Linked DNA regions of Oryctolagus cuniculus. The protein of the gene in region 1 interacts with the protein of each later gene in a biochemical or structural test. Links are inferred from orthologs where the notes say so. Each region holds a gene or a part of one and is shown in the gene's direction. Other genes may lie near its edges. The genes, in order: NPPB, NPR1, NPR3 and NPR2.

Region 1 (4,049 bases):
CATGTGGGTGCAGGGCCCAAGCACTTGGGCCATCCTCCACTCCTTCCCGGGCCGCAGCAGAGAGCTGGACTAAAAGAGGAGCATCTGGGACAGAATCTGGTGCCCCAATCGGGACTAGAACCTGGAGTACTGGCGCCGCAGGTGGTGGATTAGCTTGGTGAGCCGTGGCACCGGCCAGAATTCACTCTTGATAGGTGTTGGTGATGGGTTCTGGCTCCCCATGACCCTTCACCCTATGACATCCAGCATAATGGACTCAAGGCCCTCAGCAGCCCCGCTCCCTGGCTCCGACTCAGCTCTATACCCTGGGCTGTATTTTGTTGCCTCCCTCATGTCCACTTCACCTAGGGATAGACTTCCTGTGGCATGCACACGCACACACTCACACACACACAGCCACAGCCCCCGCACGACCTGCCCAGAACTGCCATCATCATGCAGTCCTCATTGACCCCCCCATCTTCTTCTACAAAATGCTCACCTTAGCCCACACCTTCCTTCCCCTGCACATCCAGGCCCACACTCCACAAAGCAGCCCAGCTCCCTGAGCCTTCATCGATGACAAGGGGTCCAACAAAGCTTTCTTTTTGAAGAAACACCTTCTGACCACCACGGCAGTTTATAAGAACTGTGGGGCTGGAACCTGACAGCTGGTTGGGAAACCAGGACTTACTATTTGTCAATCGTGTGACCTCTGCAAAGCAGGTTGATTCTTCGGAGTGGCTTTCACCCGGCAGCCGCCAGCTTTCAGGAGAAGTTTGTCCCTTTCCTGCCTCTGCCAGCCCTACCCCAGACCAGCCTGTTGCTGCTGCTGCTGCTTGTTAACACAGATGGGGTCATGGCTTGGGGGGTTGGGGGGAGGTTCTTTATGCTGCTGTGTCCCTTCCCAAGGCCATTTCTCTGATTCTCATTTCTAATAACAGAGGGGCCCTAGGCCACCTGCAGATGGGAATTAGTCTGTGGGTGATCCAGTGAAGGGGGCACTGGGAAGGGTACATGCACCCTCTGATCACCCTCTATTTCCATCCTGCATTGTCTGGGCGTGGGGAAGGTGTTGGCACCTGGATGAGGTGCCCAGAGTGCATTCCTGGTGACTTCATCTCTGGACTTGCTCTTGAAATTCCAGCCAGGCCAAATCAATTCTGTCCTTTACGAGAAGGAGGAAGGGTCAGCATTCCACAACTTCCTTGTCATAACCAGGTTTTTAGTCAGTTGACGCTGAAGAATTGCATCCCAGTATCACGAGGCTCATGGTGGGGGATGGGGATAGTGAGAGCGCGAGGGAGGTCTTGGAGGTCTCTTGTCCTCTGTCCCCTGAAGGTCTTCCGGGCTTGGAAACCCCGGGTGAGAAGGGCGGATTCTGAGAGTTTGCGCCTCGCTCGCTTGGCGCGATCAGCACCACGGCCAGCGCCCCCGCACCCAGCGGCTGCGAGCCGGAGTCCCGCGGGCCGCCGGCTCCCGGGGTAAGGGGCTCAGCCCGGGGCGGTCCTGGGCTTCTCCCTGCCCTTTCCAGCGATGACTGGGGTGGAGAGAGAAGAAGAGAGCGCCACGCGAGGGCCCCGGATTCTCGCAGGAAGGGAGGAAGCGGGAACCGGGTACGTGCAGGGGCCCCCGCGCGCCCGCCCCCGGCCCAGCCCATTTCTATACAAGGCCTGCTCTCCCCAGCCTCCACCGCCAGCGCGGAGGGGCGCATTCCCGGCCCTGAGCTCAGCGGGCCGGAATGTGGCTGATAAATCAGAGATAACGGCGCCCCCGCCCCTCGGCCAGGGAAGGACCGGCTGGACACTCAGCTCCGGAATAAAAGGCCGCGCGCGGTTCGCGGAGCAGCCAGGAGAGCACTTGCTGGCCTCCCAGAGGTGGGACAGGAACCCGCGCACCCCGCAGCAGCCGCTCTCCCCAGCAACATGGACCTCCCGACGGGGCTCTCCCGGGCTCTCCTGCTCCTCCTCTTCTTGCACCTGTCCCCGCAGAGGTGTCGTCCCCACCCGCTGGGCAGCCCCAGCAAAACCTCCTCAGAACTTTCTGAGATACAGGTGAGTGCAGAGGGGCTGCATAGATGTGAGCGCCCTGGAGGGCTTGGACAGCAGCAAGGAAAGGGTGCCCAGCTGCCGTCCCTAGGGTCTCCACGCTCCCTCGGGAATCAATGGGAGAATCAGAAAGCGGAGAGAGTTACTCCAGGTCCCTGGACACAGTGCTGTGGGTGGATTCACTTGGGCACCATGGGGAGGGTGAGCCCAGGTGGGAGATCCCGAGCCTCTGGTTTCTGCCCACCACAGCAGCTGCTGGGCCGTCTCCGGAACAAGGTCTCCCAGCTGCAGGCACAGCAGACGACCCTGGAGCCTACCCAGCAAGACGGAGGCACGGCGAAAACCTGGGAGACCCAGGAGACCAGAGAGGCGGCCCCTGCAGGCAGCCCTGTGCCCCTGGATGAGGCCCGCCAGACCCTGCGGAGACTCCATGGCCCCAAGCGGATGCGGGACTCAGGCTGCTTCGGGCGGAGGATGGACCGGATTGGCTCCTTCAGCGGCCTGGGCTGCAATGGTGAGCCCCCATCTGCGTCGGGTCTGGGCTGGGGAGCTGCACGCCCAGCCCTGCCCCCGGCTGTCAGCCTGAGAGTCACTTCTGGTTTGTTGTCTGGGACGCCTGGATCGCACCCCCTCTTGCTGAAGGGTGCCTTTCTGGAAACACTCATTGAGGACCCCACCCATCACCCCGCCCGCGTCCCCAGCCCCTCTGCATCCACCCCTGCGCCTTTCATCCAAGGGGCCAGAAGAGTCTCCTTGGGGTGCAGTCTGCTCACTGGAGTCCCAGACGTGTAATCTGGTTTTCCCTACACCTTCTAGAGCTTCGAGGGCAAGGGCGGGATCGCCAGGGTGATGCCACCCCCCGACCCCGTGTATGGACCAGGAAGCTGAGGTCTAGAAATTCCAAAGCCTCACACACCAAGCTCAGCTTCCACCTCCGTCTCCCCGTCGCAGGCCCTTCACCACCTCTCTCTTCTCTCCGCAGTGCTCAGGAAACACTAGAGAGCACTAGAAAGAACGCCGGCTGCAGATAACCGCTCTGGACTCCACAAGGGACGCCTCCCCCGGTCCACGACCCCCACCCCTTTGGAGCGGCTCCTATTTATTTATTTATGTATTTATTAATTTTTACTTGATCATTTTCTAAAAGACGATTTATTAACCATGGCGCACACAATTTCCGCAGAGAAATAAAATCAACACGACAGCCTTTCTTCGAAGCTGATTTGTTTCCGTGTGTTTATAACTGCTGCTCATTTTAGCAACAACAAACCAAACAAAACCCTGTGTTTGTTGAAGGTCCCAGCGGTGTCTTGATGGTGGGGTTGGGATGCGGCCCTAAGGGCTGGGCCAGTGGCGGGACGTGGAGTGCTTTCTTTCCTGTCGGGGTGTCAAACGCTCTGAAGTGGCCGCAATGGCCAGCGCCTGTGTCTTGGGGCAGGGCAGCTTCTCCCAGGGAGTGGAACGGCCCCGGCCTGGGCCAGGGTGCGAGCCCCTGCCTGGAAGCCCACCCTAGCCCCACCCTCGCTGACTTTCCCTGGCAACAGTTGTTTCCGAAGCCTGAACTAGCAAGTCAGACGCTGGGGGTTTCGTGTGTGTTGCGTTCCCAAGTTGGGGTGAGCCTCCATCCTTCCCCAAATTTCAACTTCAGACCTCCAACTCCTGATGTCATCCTGGAAAAGACCCTCAAAACCCAACCCAGGGGTCTGGCAGGAGGCTCAAGTTCTCGGGGTGCACCCCCACGCCAACACTTCCTCTCCAGCTGTCCTGCAGAACCCTGCCCTGTGTCCAGGCGCCCAGGCCTTAGCCCAGGCTGTCTCCTCCCACACCACCACTTAGGATCTGAGCTCAGATGGTGCTGCTGGGTAAGGCACCATGAAGTCAGGTCTATTCTTAGCCCCATTTTCCAGATGAGAAAACTGAGGCCTAAAATATCAGACACCCTCCCTGAGAGCTGGGATTTGCACAGGGGTCCCAGTTACCTTCAGCTCTGTTCCCTGACATTTGAGTCCCACACTCCTGCCT
Region 2 (4,127 bases), about 110 Mb from region 1:
GTTTAAAGGCAGAGCAACAGAGAGAGAGGGAGAGATCTTCCATCCACTGATTCACTTCCCAAATGGTTGCAACAGCCATGGCTGGGCTGGACCAAAGCCAGGAGCCAGGAAACCCATCCTGGTGTCCCACAAGGGTGGCAGGGGCCCAGGTGCTCAGACCGTTGCCCACTGCCTTCCCAGGTGCGTTAACAGAAAGCTGGATCCGAAGGAGAGCAGCCAGGACGCAAACTCTCGCTCCTGTGTGGGATGCCAGCCGTGTTGCAAGCAGTGGCTTAACTCACTGCAGCATCACACTGGCTCAAAAATAAAACTTTTTAAAAAATATTTATTTGTTTGAAAGGCAGAGTTACAGAGAGGCAGAGACATAGACAGACAGAAAGACAGACAGTGGTCTTCCATCTGCTGGTTCACTCCCCAGATGACTGCAATGGCCGCAACTGTGCCAATCCGAAGCCAGGAGCCAGGAGCTTCTTCTGGGTCTCCCACATGGGTGCAGGGGCCCATGGGCTTGGGCCATCTTCTGCTGCTTTCCCAGGCCACAGCAGAGAGGGTCCAGCGAGGATTATGGGGGGAGCTGAAGTCCAGAGCTCAGGCCGGGCGCCGGGCTGACCTCCCCTTCTGCTCTCCATCTCCTCAGAGAGGCTCCAACTACGGATCCTTGCTAACCACAGAGGGCCAGTTCCAAATCTTTGCCAAGACAGCCTATTATAAGGTGGGCCCAGGGAAGCACCTGGTCCTCAGGCCTGGGGCAGGGGCGTGCTCTGGCGGAGGGCTGCGGGAGGGTCCTGGGTGCAGGGTGGGCAACTGGTGTTCCAGGGGCACTGGACCAGGCTCTGCACAGTGACCGTCTCCGTTCCTGGCCCAGGGCAACCTCGTGGCCGTGAAACGTGTGAACCGGAAACGCATTGAGCTGACACGCAAAGTCCTGTTTGAACTGAAGCATGTAATGTGGGGGAGTGAGGCTGTGGCCTGGGGACCGCCCCCCGGTTGGGGGGGCACAGAGGTTGAAAGTGTGGAGCTCAGGGGGATCCTGGGGCGGGGGAGAAGGGCCGTATGTGAGACCCCTGCAGGGTGGACGCTTCAGAAGGGCGTGGGCAGCGGATTCTGGGAGAGGGCTCTGCAGAAAATGAACAGAGTGAGGGTCCCTGTCAGGCCCCTGATGCTGCCCCCACCCGGCAGATGCGGGATGTGCAGAACGAACACCTGACCAGGTTTGTGGGTGCCTGCACCGATCCCCCCAACATCTGTATCCTCACAGAGTACTGTCCTCGTGGGAGCCTGCAGGTGAGAGGGATGTCGGGTGTCAAGAAACCTGGGTCCTAAGCCCTGGCTCTGGGCCTGAGGGGCAAGCCCCTCCCTCCTTCTGACCCCCACCAGCCCCAGTTGTAAAACAGGAGTAGGGGAGGGCGCTGGCACTGGCGTAATTCCAAAGCGTCCTAGCGTACCAGCTTTCACCATAGGCCCCCTGCACCCTCCTCCTGCTCCCAGGGGGCTTGCAGGGCACAGTCTGACTCCCGCTGCCCAGCAGGACATCCTCGAGAACGAGAGCATCACCCTGGACTGGATGTTCCGCTACTCGCTCACCAATGACATTGTCAAGGTAGGCCCGAGGGCCCCCCGGGGGAGGCGGGCAGGTGGCTGCTCCTCTGCCACTGTGTCGGCCCCACCCGTGCCCACACCTCTGCCCCTCCCAGGGGATGCTGTTCCTTCACAACGGGGCCATCTGCTCCCATGGGAACCTCAAGTCATCCAACTGTGTGGTAGACGGGCGCTTTGTGCTCAAGATCACCGACTACGGGCTGGAGAGCTTCAGGGACCCAGAGCCGGAGCAAGGACACACCATCTACGCCAGTGAGCCCCGACTCTCGACTCCTGCACAGCCCAGCAGGGCGGCGGGGCTTGGGCGTGCCACACCCGACTGCAGGCTTCCTTTGTTCCCTAGGGAAAGGAGGAGGCCTCTTCCAGCTCTCCATGCCATGGCTCCAGATCAGCCCCAGCCACGTGCTTCTTGTTTCTCCCCTTTGCCCCTCTGTGACTCCTGACCTCTGACCCACAGAAAAGCTGTGGACAGCGCCCGAGCTGCTGCGAATGGCGTCACCCCCCGCCCGCGGCTCCCAGGCCGGTGACATCTACAGCTTCGGGATCATCCTTCAAGAGATTGCCCTGCGGAGTGGGGTCTTCCACGTGGAGGGTCTGGACCTCAGCCCCAAAGGTGAGAGGACCATGCTTTCCACTGTTCCCTCCGTGGTCTCGACTAACCCCAGCCTCAGGGAGACGGACCCCTGGAAGCGGCCCCAGACCTTCCTTCCACTGCCTCCAGTGCCCAGTCCCCTGCCCAGCTCCTCCACCTTTGCCCTGACCCAGCTGGCTGCCCCCAGTCTGTCACTGGACCCTTGGCGGACCCCACCCCTCAGCCGCCCCCTCCCCCACGATACAGAGATCATCGAGCGTGTGACCCGGGGTGAGCAGCCCCCATTCCGGCCCTCCCTGGCCCTGCAGAGCCACATGGAGGAGCTGGGGCAGCTCATGCAGCGGTGCTGGGCCGAGGACCCCCAGGAGCGGCCACCCTTCCAGCAGATCCGCCTGACACTACGCAAGTTTAACAGGTCGCCACTGGTAGCCGCCGTGCATCCCACACTTCCACTTCCCCTCCACCCCCTGCCACCGGGCAGAAAGAGCCCACTCACAGCTCCCCCCTGCATAGCCCGCTGCAGCCCACCACAGCCTGGCAACCCTCTCACACCTACTGCATGGCCAGCTGTCCCCACAGCGCCCTGCCACTCAAACCCCACTCCTCCACCCACCTGACACACTGGCCACCAGACTTTGCAGTGGCGTGCAGAGGAAACGGGCCACATCTCCTGGGCCTCCGAAGCAGCTCCCAGCCCAGCCTCATGCACTCCCCTTCCCATGGTGCCCACTGGGGCTCAGTTCCAGACACACCCCTCCGCTGCCTGCGTGCCCCTCCCTCCATCCCTCTCCACTGCCTCTATCTCTTACTAATGCACTTAAGTCCAACAAAGACCAACTACTGATGTGTCCTGAGGCTTCACGTGTGACCCTGGGGCCTCAGACATGAACAGAACTTTCTTCCTACCCTTTCCCCTGCTCTCCGCATCCTGCTGTGTTCCAGACCCTGGCCCTCCCCAGGGACCCCTGCCGCCAACCGCTGCTGCAGCTGTGTGGGCTGACATTAAACCTGGGTGGGGGAGCTCTGGGGGGTGCAGCTCCTCTCTCACCGCCCCCGCCCCCCAGGGAGAACAGCAGCAACATCCTGGACAACCTGCTCTCGCGCATGGAACAGTACGCCAACAACCTGGAGGAGCTGGTGGAGGAGCGCACCCAGGCCTACCTGGAGGAGAAGCGCAAGGCCGAGGCGCTGCTCTACCAGATTCTGCCGCAGTGAGTCCCTGTGTCTGACACCCCCCCCCCCACGTGCGCACGTGCACGCACCCCGTCCCGGGGCCCCACCTCGCTCCCTGACCCCGCACCTGCCCTCACACCGCAGCTCCGTGGCTGAGCAGTTGAAGCGCGGGGAGACAGTCCAGGCTGAGGCCTTTGACAGCGTCACCATCTACTTCAGTGACATTGTGGGGTTCACAGCCCTGTCGGCGGAGAGCACGCCCATGCAGGTAAGACATAGCTCAGCCACAGGCGTCAAACCAGGCCGGTGGGCTTGGCTTCGCATCTCCATGCCCCTCCTCACCTGCTTTTCCCTCCAGACCTCCAGGGTGGGTGGGTGAGTGGGGGGGTCCCCTCACTCCCGACCGGCGTCTCTTCCCTTCCAGGTGGTGACCCTGCTCAATGACCTGTACACTTGCTTTGATGCTGTCATTGACAACTTCGATGTGTACAAGGTGAGGGTGTGAGTGAGGAGGGGGAGGGACAGACAGACAAGGTCAGAGAAGGTGCAAGGAAGGCAGAATAACGTGGGGTCTTAGGAGAAGAGACCCGGGACATGGGCAGACAGCGGCACAGGGAGACCCAGGAAACAGTGCAGGCTGGAGGGTGAGCACGGTGCAGGCAGATGGTGTGTGCGGTGTGGCCGTAGGCACAGGGAAGAGAGCGCTGGCTCTGCTGCCCGCACAGGTGGAGACCATCGGAGATGCCTACATGGTGGTGTCAGG
Region 3 (4,127 bases), on another chromosome or scaffold:
TTGTCCTCTCTCTTGTGATTGTTTTTCTAATACTTTCTCAAAGGCTTCTTAAGCTTTGCACTTGGATAAGAAAGATAAAAGTGCAGGATCTCCTAGAATATCTTTCTAAAAAAAAAAAAAAAAAAAAGAAAGAAAAAAGAACATTTGCAGCAACTAGGAAACTGAGAAACACCTTCCTTGAAGGAACCTTGAGGCATTTCTAACTCCTTCTCAAAGTGAACCCTGATTATCTATGCTTCTTTTCAAGCAGGTGGTCTAGAAGAATCAGCGGTGACAGGCATTGTTGTAGGGGCCCTACTGGGAGCTGGGTTGCTAATGGCCTTCTACTTTTTCAGGTGAGAATTGTTTATACAATTCACTCTCCTTTGACTGCCTTTGTCACTTGTCTTGGCATGATCCCCCTTGTGACTTGTCCACATCTTTCTTACACCCAAGAAGCCTGGTGGTTAGAAGACCTAAGCAGTCCTTTTGGTGTGACCCTGGATTTGGTGGTCAGTGGGTTAGCATTGTTGGTTATTAGAGTTACGATATTCCAGTGCCTTACCCTAAAGGCCAGAGAGCCATTGCTGTCCTTAGTTCACAGATATTTCGACAGCAATTCCTACCACTCACCAAATGCACACATGGAGAAGGAATCTGGACAAAGGGGAAAATCAACTTTCTTGTTCTCAGACTGTTTCCAATTCAGAAATAGAGGCTTGACTTAACCTTCCTAAAGGGAAGGAGGGAGCTGGGAGTAGTCTGTGCTCCCAGGCTGATCTGGGCTTCGTATTTGGAGCCCTGTGAGCTTAGCTCACTGTGGGGTAGCCTCAGGACTTGCACAATTCTAAAAGGTGCGTGTGTTCAAGGCAGCCATTGTTCCACGCTCCAAGGGCAGCCCCTTCCTTTGTAACCTTTGGTGGTTGAGTTTGTGACTTATAGATCATTAGACTCTGGGTGGATGGGACCCCTTGTGGGAACAGCTGTACTCCTTCGGTCCCACTGTACTTAATCTGATCTTTATCTAGGGCATTTCCTGGGAGTCAGGGAGTGTGTCTGTGGCAGAAGTGACAAGACTTAACCCCACAAGGCACTCAGGGAAGAAGGGGAGGTCTTGTTCTCTGGCATTTTGGAAAGCATGCCGACTTTCCCCCTTGAAAGAGGGCATAGTGCCTTGGGCACACTACTTTAATCTCTGACCAGGGTTTCATATTCTGTCACTTCTCATTTGTCAAACCAAACCCAGATGTCCCCTGAGGGCATTCTTTGTAAGAGAAACCCCAGTATTTTGTAACCAAGAGATGTTTTATTACTGCATTCACTTTCCCTTTACCCAGGAAGAAATACAGAATAACCATTGAGAGGCGAAACCAGCAAGAAGAAAGTAACGTTGGAAAACATCGGGAGTTACGAGAAGATTCCATCAGATCCCATTTTTCGGTGGCTTAAAAGAAGCTTAATTTTTTTTTCCCCTTTCTGCCTGAGGTTACTTAAGGAGATAGCTGGGATGAAAGACATCAGTGGAACAGAAGGGGTGTTCTTGAAGCATTCATTCTTTTAAGCAGTCATTTCATTTTAAACATTCTTTAGAAGCTCAGGAACTATTATTAATCATGATCTGGCTCCCGGCCTTTCATCTCATGACAAACAAATATAAGAATATAATGTCACTTTGCTAAGTGTTCATACTGCTTCAAGGGCATATAATTAGATTTATGTTTTAAAATCTGATGTCTCCATATCTTGATGGCTCTTGGGGACATTTCACACAAGGACATAAAATGTGGTTTTCCTACATGAAATGTTTTGTAGCTAGAATAAAATCATTTTTACAAGTAGAATATTCTTGGGAAGAGTTTGACACCCAATAAGAAGGAAATGTAATGAGAAAATCCCAGGGTTGGGAATACACCATCACTCTCTCTAGAGCTGGCAGAGAGATGGTTGAGGATTGCTGTGTCCAATGTCTGCAATCAGGTTCTGACTTTGAATCTGGAAAAGCATTTTTTCCTTGTCTCCTTCAGTGTCTCATAAGAGCTACTCTGAAAAGTTGTAAATATTAGTGAGGTAGGAAGATTTATACAAGAAAAGCAAATCTGAATTTTGTGTGTAAAAAAAAGCCCTATTTCACACTAACATTTTTATTTTTAACTATCTTAATCTTATATTTTGATGTTAGAAATTATGTCTATTTTTTCAGTTTGAAGATTAAATTTCACTTATATTTTAAAAGCATGGGTCAAGTGTATAACAAGCCAGTAATGATCAAAGAAAGATGCTTTTCTTTTTCTCTGTTTCCTCCTTCTCCTGGTCATAGCCAAATGCCAATTGCTGCTTTAATTACAGAGATCTAAAGATGTATGTAGATTGCAAACTCTATAGGAGTACATTCATTTTTAAACCATTTGCATTTTGAACCATTTAAAATGCAATCTATTGCTGGGCTGCATCCCTTCCAGTTCTGACCAAATGGTGTTTCAAGATCCAGAGTGAAAAGAGATTATAATTAGGCAAAATTTTAAAGGGAGGTAGCCCTTCTCCCTCAAGAATAACTTAAGAAAGACTTAGAACTTGACAGAAGGATGGAATTGATAAAAAAAAAATGCATGGCATTTACCAGAATTCACAATGATGAGTTTGGATTTTTTTCCCTTTAATAACACTCTTTTACTTTAAAAGTTTATGGGGGTAATCTAAGTACCTTCTATATGAGTATTCATTCTCAGTCTACTCTGCAGTTTTACAGGCATCCACCAATAACCTGTGTGACAGTGGGTTGGGTGTGGGTGTAAGGCATTGGGATGATTTGTAGGGATTTCCTGGATATCTGCTTTGCACCCAGTACTCTGCACATAGGTTTATTCTCAGGTTGTCACATTCACCTACAGCTGTGGAGAAAACAGACAGCAAGGAAAGAAAGGGAAGTGTCAGGTAAGAGTGCTGTCCTGTAATGTCATTAGGTTATTTCCTAGCAACATTTTGAGCATATGAAAAGTATTTTTGCAAATGATCTTAGTGTCTATAAAAGACAGGGACAGAGGGGAGTTTAAGCACTTCCTTGGTGGTGATGGAGGTTGTAACTCACACTGGTAACAGAAGAGGAAAAAGTGAGTGACAGCTCCATATTTTAAATCTTGGCTAGCGATTGCTTCCCCAGAGGGGTCTGCCTCTGTCCACAGCCATCACAGTGAACTGATGATATCTGCCTGAGGCACCTTTCCTCTCCATTGTTTGAAAAATGGGATGCAGGATGCAGGCATGACAGAATGGGAAGGCAGGGTAGAAGAATTAACTGCGAGGAACTGAAACAATGTTGTAGTCCGTCCTGCTAGACAGAAAGAGAAGAGTGCTGGATTCAAATAAGGATGGAAAAAGAAGGCAAGAAAGACAGGCGCAAAAAATTCTAATGGAGGAAGAGGGTTTGAAAATAAGACCCAGGACAGCAAAACATTTGACAGCTTGGGACTCCCCCAGGTGAGAAGAGAATGGAAAGAGTGCTCTATTCTCAGTCACAGGAATTGGAGAGCTTATTTCTCTCATTCAAATTTTTCATGATGTTTTCTTATCCTCTAGAGATAATAATTTTCTATTATTTTGTGTTGGTAAAAAACACATTTTGAGCCTGTATTTGTATTTTCGGGGGGTGGGAATACTGTCTACCTGGCTTCAGTCTTTGGGTTCTGAACGTGTCCAGTCTTTCTAGAATTTACATAATAGTCCATCAGCAGTTTTAGAGAAAATATCTTTTATTTCTACTGCAGGTAGAAGAATAATTATATGTATATATTTTTAAAGATTTATTTATTTTTCACTTGAGAGTCAGAGTTACACAGAGAGAGAAGGAGAGGCAGAGAGAGAAAGAGAGAGAGAGAGAGAGGTCTTCCATCTGCTGGTTCATTCCCCAATTGGTGGCAATTGCCAATTTGAAGCCAGGAGCCAGGAGCTTCCTCCGGGTCTCCCATATGGGTGCAGGGGCCCAAGGACTTGGGCCATCTTCTACTGCTTTCCCAGGCCATAGTAGAGAGCTGGATTGGAAATGGAGCAGCTGGGACTAGAACTGGTGCCCATATGGGTTGCTGATGCTTCAGGCCAGAGTGTTAACCTGCTGTGCCACAGTGCCAGCCCAGAAGAATAATTATAAACTTATT
Region 4 (4,127 bases), on another chromosome or scaffold:
GGTTCCTTTTGTGGGATAATGTCATCACTCTGGCAGCTGTGGGTGGCTTGTGTGGACTTTCATTTTTGATCTTTTTCTCTTTCTTTTTCTTTTTTAAGATTTACTTATTTATTTGAAAGGCAGAGTTATAGAGGCCGAGGGGAAAGAGAGATATCTTCCATCCACTGGGTCACTCCCCAATGGCTGCAACGGGAAGGGCTGGGCCAGGCTGAAACCAGGAGCCAGGAGCCAGGACCTTCATCCAGGTCTCCAACATGGGTGCAGGGGCCCAAGCCCCTGGACTGTCTTCCACTGCTTTCCCAGGTGCCTTTCCAGGAAGCTGGGTTGGAAGTGGAGCAGCTGGGACTTGGACTGGTGCTCATACGGGATACCTGTGTTACAGACAGTAGCTTAACCTGCTGTGCCACAATGCCGACCCCTGTGTGCTCTTGTGTTCTCAAAGTGTATCAGCTTTAATTTATAATATGGCCAATACCTGTAGATTTACTCCACATAAACACAAGTTTCTTAGGGTCCTTAGTAACATGTAAGGCTGTCAGGCCATCTTGAGATCAACATGTTTGATAACTGCCAGCCTAGGGAACAAAGCAGCCTAGAGAATAAAAAACCCACCCTCAGCCTTAAGTGAAATACAAGTTGTATTAAATCTCTTCTCCAGCTCTTGTGCTTTTCATCGTCGGTGCGCTGCCTCTCTGAATGTCTTGTATTTCTGCAGCAGGTGTCGCCTACTGAACCCTGCCCACCTCACCCTTCGTCCTCCTCCCCTTTATGTTTTGCCTGAGCGTGGAAGGATGTTAGAAGGGTGTGATCAAGCGCTCACATGCTGCAGAGAAAACCGCAGTCTGATACGATGAGTGCGAGGTGGAAGTTGGCTTCCGCTGCCTGTCAGTCCTCCCCAGACAGCTCATGGTGCGCGCAGGGGATGCAGGTGCGGTCTCACAGCCCGCGTGTGCTTTCCATGGCAGGAGTGCATAAAACTGGCCAAAGTGCCTGGATTTTAAGTTACCGCCTTCACAGTCGTGGTGAGCTGAAGTCTCTCCCTGACCCTATGATGCCAGTTTGGTGTCTGAGCAGGGACTGGTCTCAGCGGAGACTGCAGCTAAGGCAGGGGCCACCCGCGGGGCTCACGGGAGCCGGGCAGGCACTTTGATGAGGGACGGACGTGCTGACTCATGCGCCAGGGAGATGTGTGCCTGCCTGAGCCCACATGCCGTTTGCTTATCTGTGAAATGTGTGTGGTGTGTGGCATGTGACTTCTGGGAGTTTGTCCCAGTGACACATGTCTCTTAAGCAAGACAGTGATGCTTGTGGGAAGTGTCCTCTGCAGGCGAACTGTGTGAACTCAGCCTCTCACAGGTGGAATCGCGGCGTCCAAGTACCGCCCAGAGCCTGGAATCTCTTTCCTTCACCGGGCGCAGGCGCTCTGTCTGAGTGGCCCAAACAATGACGTCATCGTGTTATTGCTAATGTTGACAGTAATGAACACACCAGGGAGGAGCAGATGACCCGTGTTTTCCCCGATAGTGGACGGATACCCCAAAAGGAGAGGAAAAGAGGGGCTGTGAGACCACGGGCAGCTCGCCAAGAGGCCTTGGGTGTGGCAGGGAGTTGGGGAAGATGATGGGCTTTTGCGGTTACTGCCTGGTCTCCCCCTTCCCACAAGCAGTGCTGTCTGCCTTTCCTGGAGGAGTGCTGCCCCCTCCCCCCAGAGGTACTGAACACACCGCACGTGCACATTTGCACACACACACACACACACAGAGCTTAGTATCCTTTCAGCCTTCAGACTCACCCCTGTGTATTATAGATCATGTACATTTCACCAAATCCCCCTGTCCTGCCTCCAGTCTTGCCCACCTGGAATCCCATTCACTTCTCCCCGTATTCTGCTGGTACAGACTGTGCTGGTGATCACGTACCGAGAACCCCCAAATCCCGAGTATCAGGAATTCCAGAATCGTCTGCTGATAAGAGCCCGAGAAGATTTCGGAGTGGAGCTGGCCCCTTCCCTGGTAAGCAGCTCCCTCTCCTCTCCCCGAGAGAGGCCGGCCTGTGAGCAGGACTCCTCTGCCCCAGCTCAGCATCCAGCGGTGGCTGTGGCTCCCATCCAGGGCATTTCCTCGTGGCCCGGGGTCCAGTGAGGTGGAAGTGGGCGGGGGGAAGTAAAGCAGAGGTGAGAAGAGGTCCAAGGGAGCCCAGAGCTGGGGGTCGGGCAGGGGCCTGGCAGGATGTTTGGAGAGAGTTACCACCCCCAGATGAACCTCATCGCTGGCTGCTTCTACGACGGCATCCTGCTCTATGCTGAAGTCCTGAACGAGACCCTCCAGGAAGGAGGCACCCGGGAGGACGGGCTGCGGATTGTGGAGAAGATGCAAGGCCGGAGGTACCACGGTAAGGAACGGGGCTGACAGCGCCCCTGAGGGCTGGGGCCAGGCTCAGGAGCGGAGTGGGCAGAACAAGAACAGGTCGGAGCAGCAGGGGGCATCAGCAGGGGCTGGAGGACGTGGCATGGGTGGGCACATCTCAGGGGCAGGGGTGGGGACAGGCTCTGAGGCAGCTGGAGGGGCCAGGGGAGAGGAGGGGTTCTAGGGTAGACCTCAAAGTAACGGCTGCTCTTTGCTCTCTTAGGTGTGACTGGCTTGGTTGTTATGGACAAGAACAATGACCGGGAGACCGATTTCGTCCTGTGGGCCATGGGAGACCTGGATTCTGGGGACTTCCAGGTGATGGGGGAGGGGCAGGGAAGGGATGGTGGCCTTGCAGAAGTCAGCCTTCTAGAGTCCAGGGAGGGCAGAGCCAAAGGGCCTAGAGGCAGGGGCTTATCTTCTCTGGGGGAGCCCCCTCCTGGCTGGGGGACAAGCAGAATCGCAGTGTCTCGGGCAGCAGGCCCATGGGCCCAGCTTTCTGCTTCCTCGCAGCCTGCAGCCCACTACTCGGGAGCCGAGAAGCAGATCTGGTGGACAGAACGGCCTATTGCCTGGGTGAAGGGGGCACCCCCCCTGGACAACCCCCCCTGTGCCTTTGACTTGGACGACCCATCCTGTGATAAAAGTGGGTGTGTGCAGGGCCTGGGAGCTACACTTCCTCCCCTCGCCTCCACCCCTGCTGCCTCTCCACTCTGCTGCCCTCCCTCCTTGCTCACTTCCCTCGGGAAATCTGTCTGCTCCTCCCCACCTGAGCCTCACCCCTCCCCACTGGGCAGCCCGCCGCCCCCATGGTCTTTCTCAGGGTCTCCCTCTCCCCTTCAGCTCCTCTCTCGACACTGGCCATTGTGGCTCTGGGCACAGGCATCACCTTCATCATGTTTGGCGTTTCCAGCTTTCTGATTTTCCGGTGAGTTCTGGGCCCCTCCCTGGCCGGCCACGATGCCACACAGCCTCCGAGGACAGCTGGGCCCGAGAATGTGGGGGAGGGGCCAGGGCCTCCTCTCAGACCTGGCAGCAGGTCCTCCCTGGCCTTTCTCCATCGTTGTCTTCAGGCTGGGAGTCTGTTCCACTTTGGGTTCTAGACTGGTCATGCTAACTGGTCATTTAGAGTGGGGCCGAGGTCAAAGGTGATTTTCCTCGGGTGCACCGTGTGTTTGGAAGTGGGCCTGGGGCGTGCACTTTCGGCGCGTGTGGCCCTCGACTACCAGCTGGAGCACCTTGCAGCCGCGCGGTGGCTGAGGGGGTGGCAGGGCGGGGCTTGCCAGTCAGCTGAGGTGTGCAGTCCTTACAGGAAGCTGATGCTGGAGAAGGAGCTGGCCAGCATGCTGTGGCGCATCCGCTGGGAAGAGCTGCAGTTCGGCAACTCAGAGCGCTGTCACAAAGGCGCAGGCAGCCGCCTCACGCTGTCGCTGGTGAGCCCTCGTCTCAGCGGTCGTCTGCCTCCCTCTGAGTTGCTGTCCTTTCTCTCCCTGGACCTCTCCCAGCACACTGGCCTGTAATGATAGCCCCTGCACTGCCACCACCATCTAATGTTCCTTTCATCCTTCCGCCTCCATGTTGCCCTTGGCCCCAGCGGGGATCCAGTTACGGCTCGCTCATGACAGCCCATGGGAAATACCAGATCTTTGCCAACACCGGTCACTTCAAGGTGAACAGTCGTCCGCTTGTTCTGGTCCCCACCATTTCATCCTGTCTCATCCC

The links.
Region 2: the proteins of NPPB (region 1) and NPR1 form a complex in vitro, tested with the Homo sapiens proteins (2 studies listed by BioGRID). The link is inferred for Oryctolagus cuniculus from reciprocal best matches to the Homo sapiens genes NPPB and NPR1.
Region 3: the proteins of NPPB (region 1) and NPR3 form a complex in vitro, tested with the Homo sapiens proteins (4 studies listed by BioGRID, with this or other methods). The link is inferred for Oryctolagus cuniculus from reciprocal best matches to the Homo sapiens genes NPPB and NPR3.
Region 4: the proteins of NPPB (region 1) and NPR2 form a complex in vitro, tested with the Homo sapiens proteins (3 studies listed by BioGRID). The link is inferred for Oryctolagus cuniculus from reciprocal best matches to the Homo sapiens genes NPPB and NPR2.

What each region holds. Positions count from the first base shown.
Region 1 is NC_091438.1:156,600,341-156,604,389, forward strand, and holds NPPB (natriuretic peptides B), read left to right. Parts: upstream 1-1,816; 5' UTR 1,817-1,904; coding exon 1,905-2,033; intron 2,034-2,276; coding exon 2,277-2,541; intron 2,542-3,009; coding exon 3,010-3,026; 3' UTR 3,027-3,244; downstream 3,245-4,049.
Region 2 is NC_091438.1:44,634,659-44,638,785, reverse strand, and holds part of NPR1 (atrial natriuretic peptide receptor 1), read left to right. Parts: intron 1-637; coding exon 638-712; intron 713-865; coding exon 866-943; intron 944-1,179; coding exon 1,180-1,284; intron 1,285-1,528; coding exon 1,529-1,600; intron 1,601-1,694; coding exon 1,695-1,851; intron 1,852-2,056; coding exon 2,057-2,212; intron 2,213-2,437; coding exon 2,438-2,606; intron 2,607-3,255; coding exon 3,256-3,402; intron 3,403-3,508; coding exon 3,509-3,632; intron 3,633-3,788; coding exon 3,789-3,857; intron 3,858-4,089; coding exon 4,090-4,127. UniProt on the Homo sapiens protein: Receptor for the atrial natriuretic peptide NPPA/ANP and the brain natriuretic peptide NPPB/BNP which are potent vasoactive hormones playing a key role in cardiovascular homeostasis.
Region 3 is NC_091445.1:58,878,663-58,882,789, forward strand, and holds part of NPR3 (atrial natriuretic peptide receptor 3), read left to right. Parts: intron 1-247; coding exon 248-335; intron 336-1,316; coding exon 1,317-1,428; 3' UTR 1,429-4,127. UniProt on the Homo sapiens protein: Receptor for the natriuretic peptide hormones, binding with similar affinities atrial natriuretic peptide NPPA/ANP, brain natriuretic peptide NPPB/BNP, and C-type natriuretic peptide NPPC/CNP.
Region 4 is NC_091432.1:198,702,153-198,706,279, forward strand, and holds part of NPR2 (atrial natriuretic peptide receptor 2), read left to right. Parts: intron 1-1,898; coding exon 1,899-2,012; intron 2,013-2,255; coding exon 2,256-2,391; intron 2,392-2,628; coding exon 2,629-2,723; intron 2,724-2,918; coding exon 2,919-3,051; intron 3,052-3,248; coding exon 3,249-3,333; intron 3,334-3,717; coding exon 3,718-3,838; intron 3,839-3,999; coding exon 4,000-4,074; intron 4,075-4,127. UniProt on the Homo sapiens protein: Receptor for the C-type natriuretic peptide NPPC/CNP hormone. Has guanylate cyclase activity upon binding of its ligand. May play a role in the regulation of skeletal growth.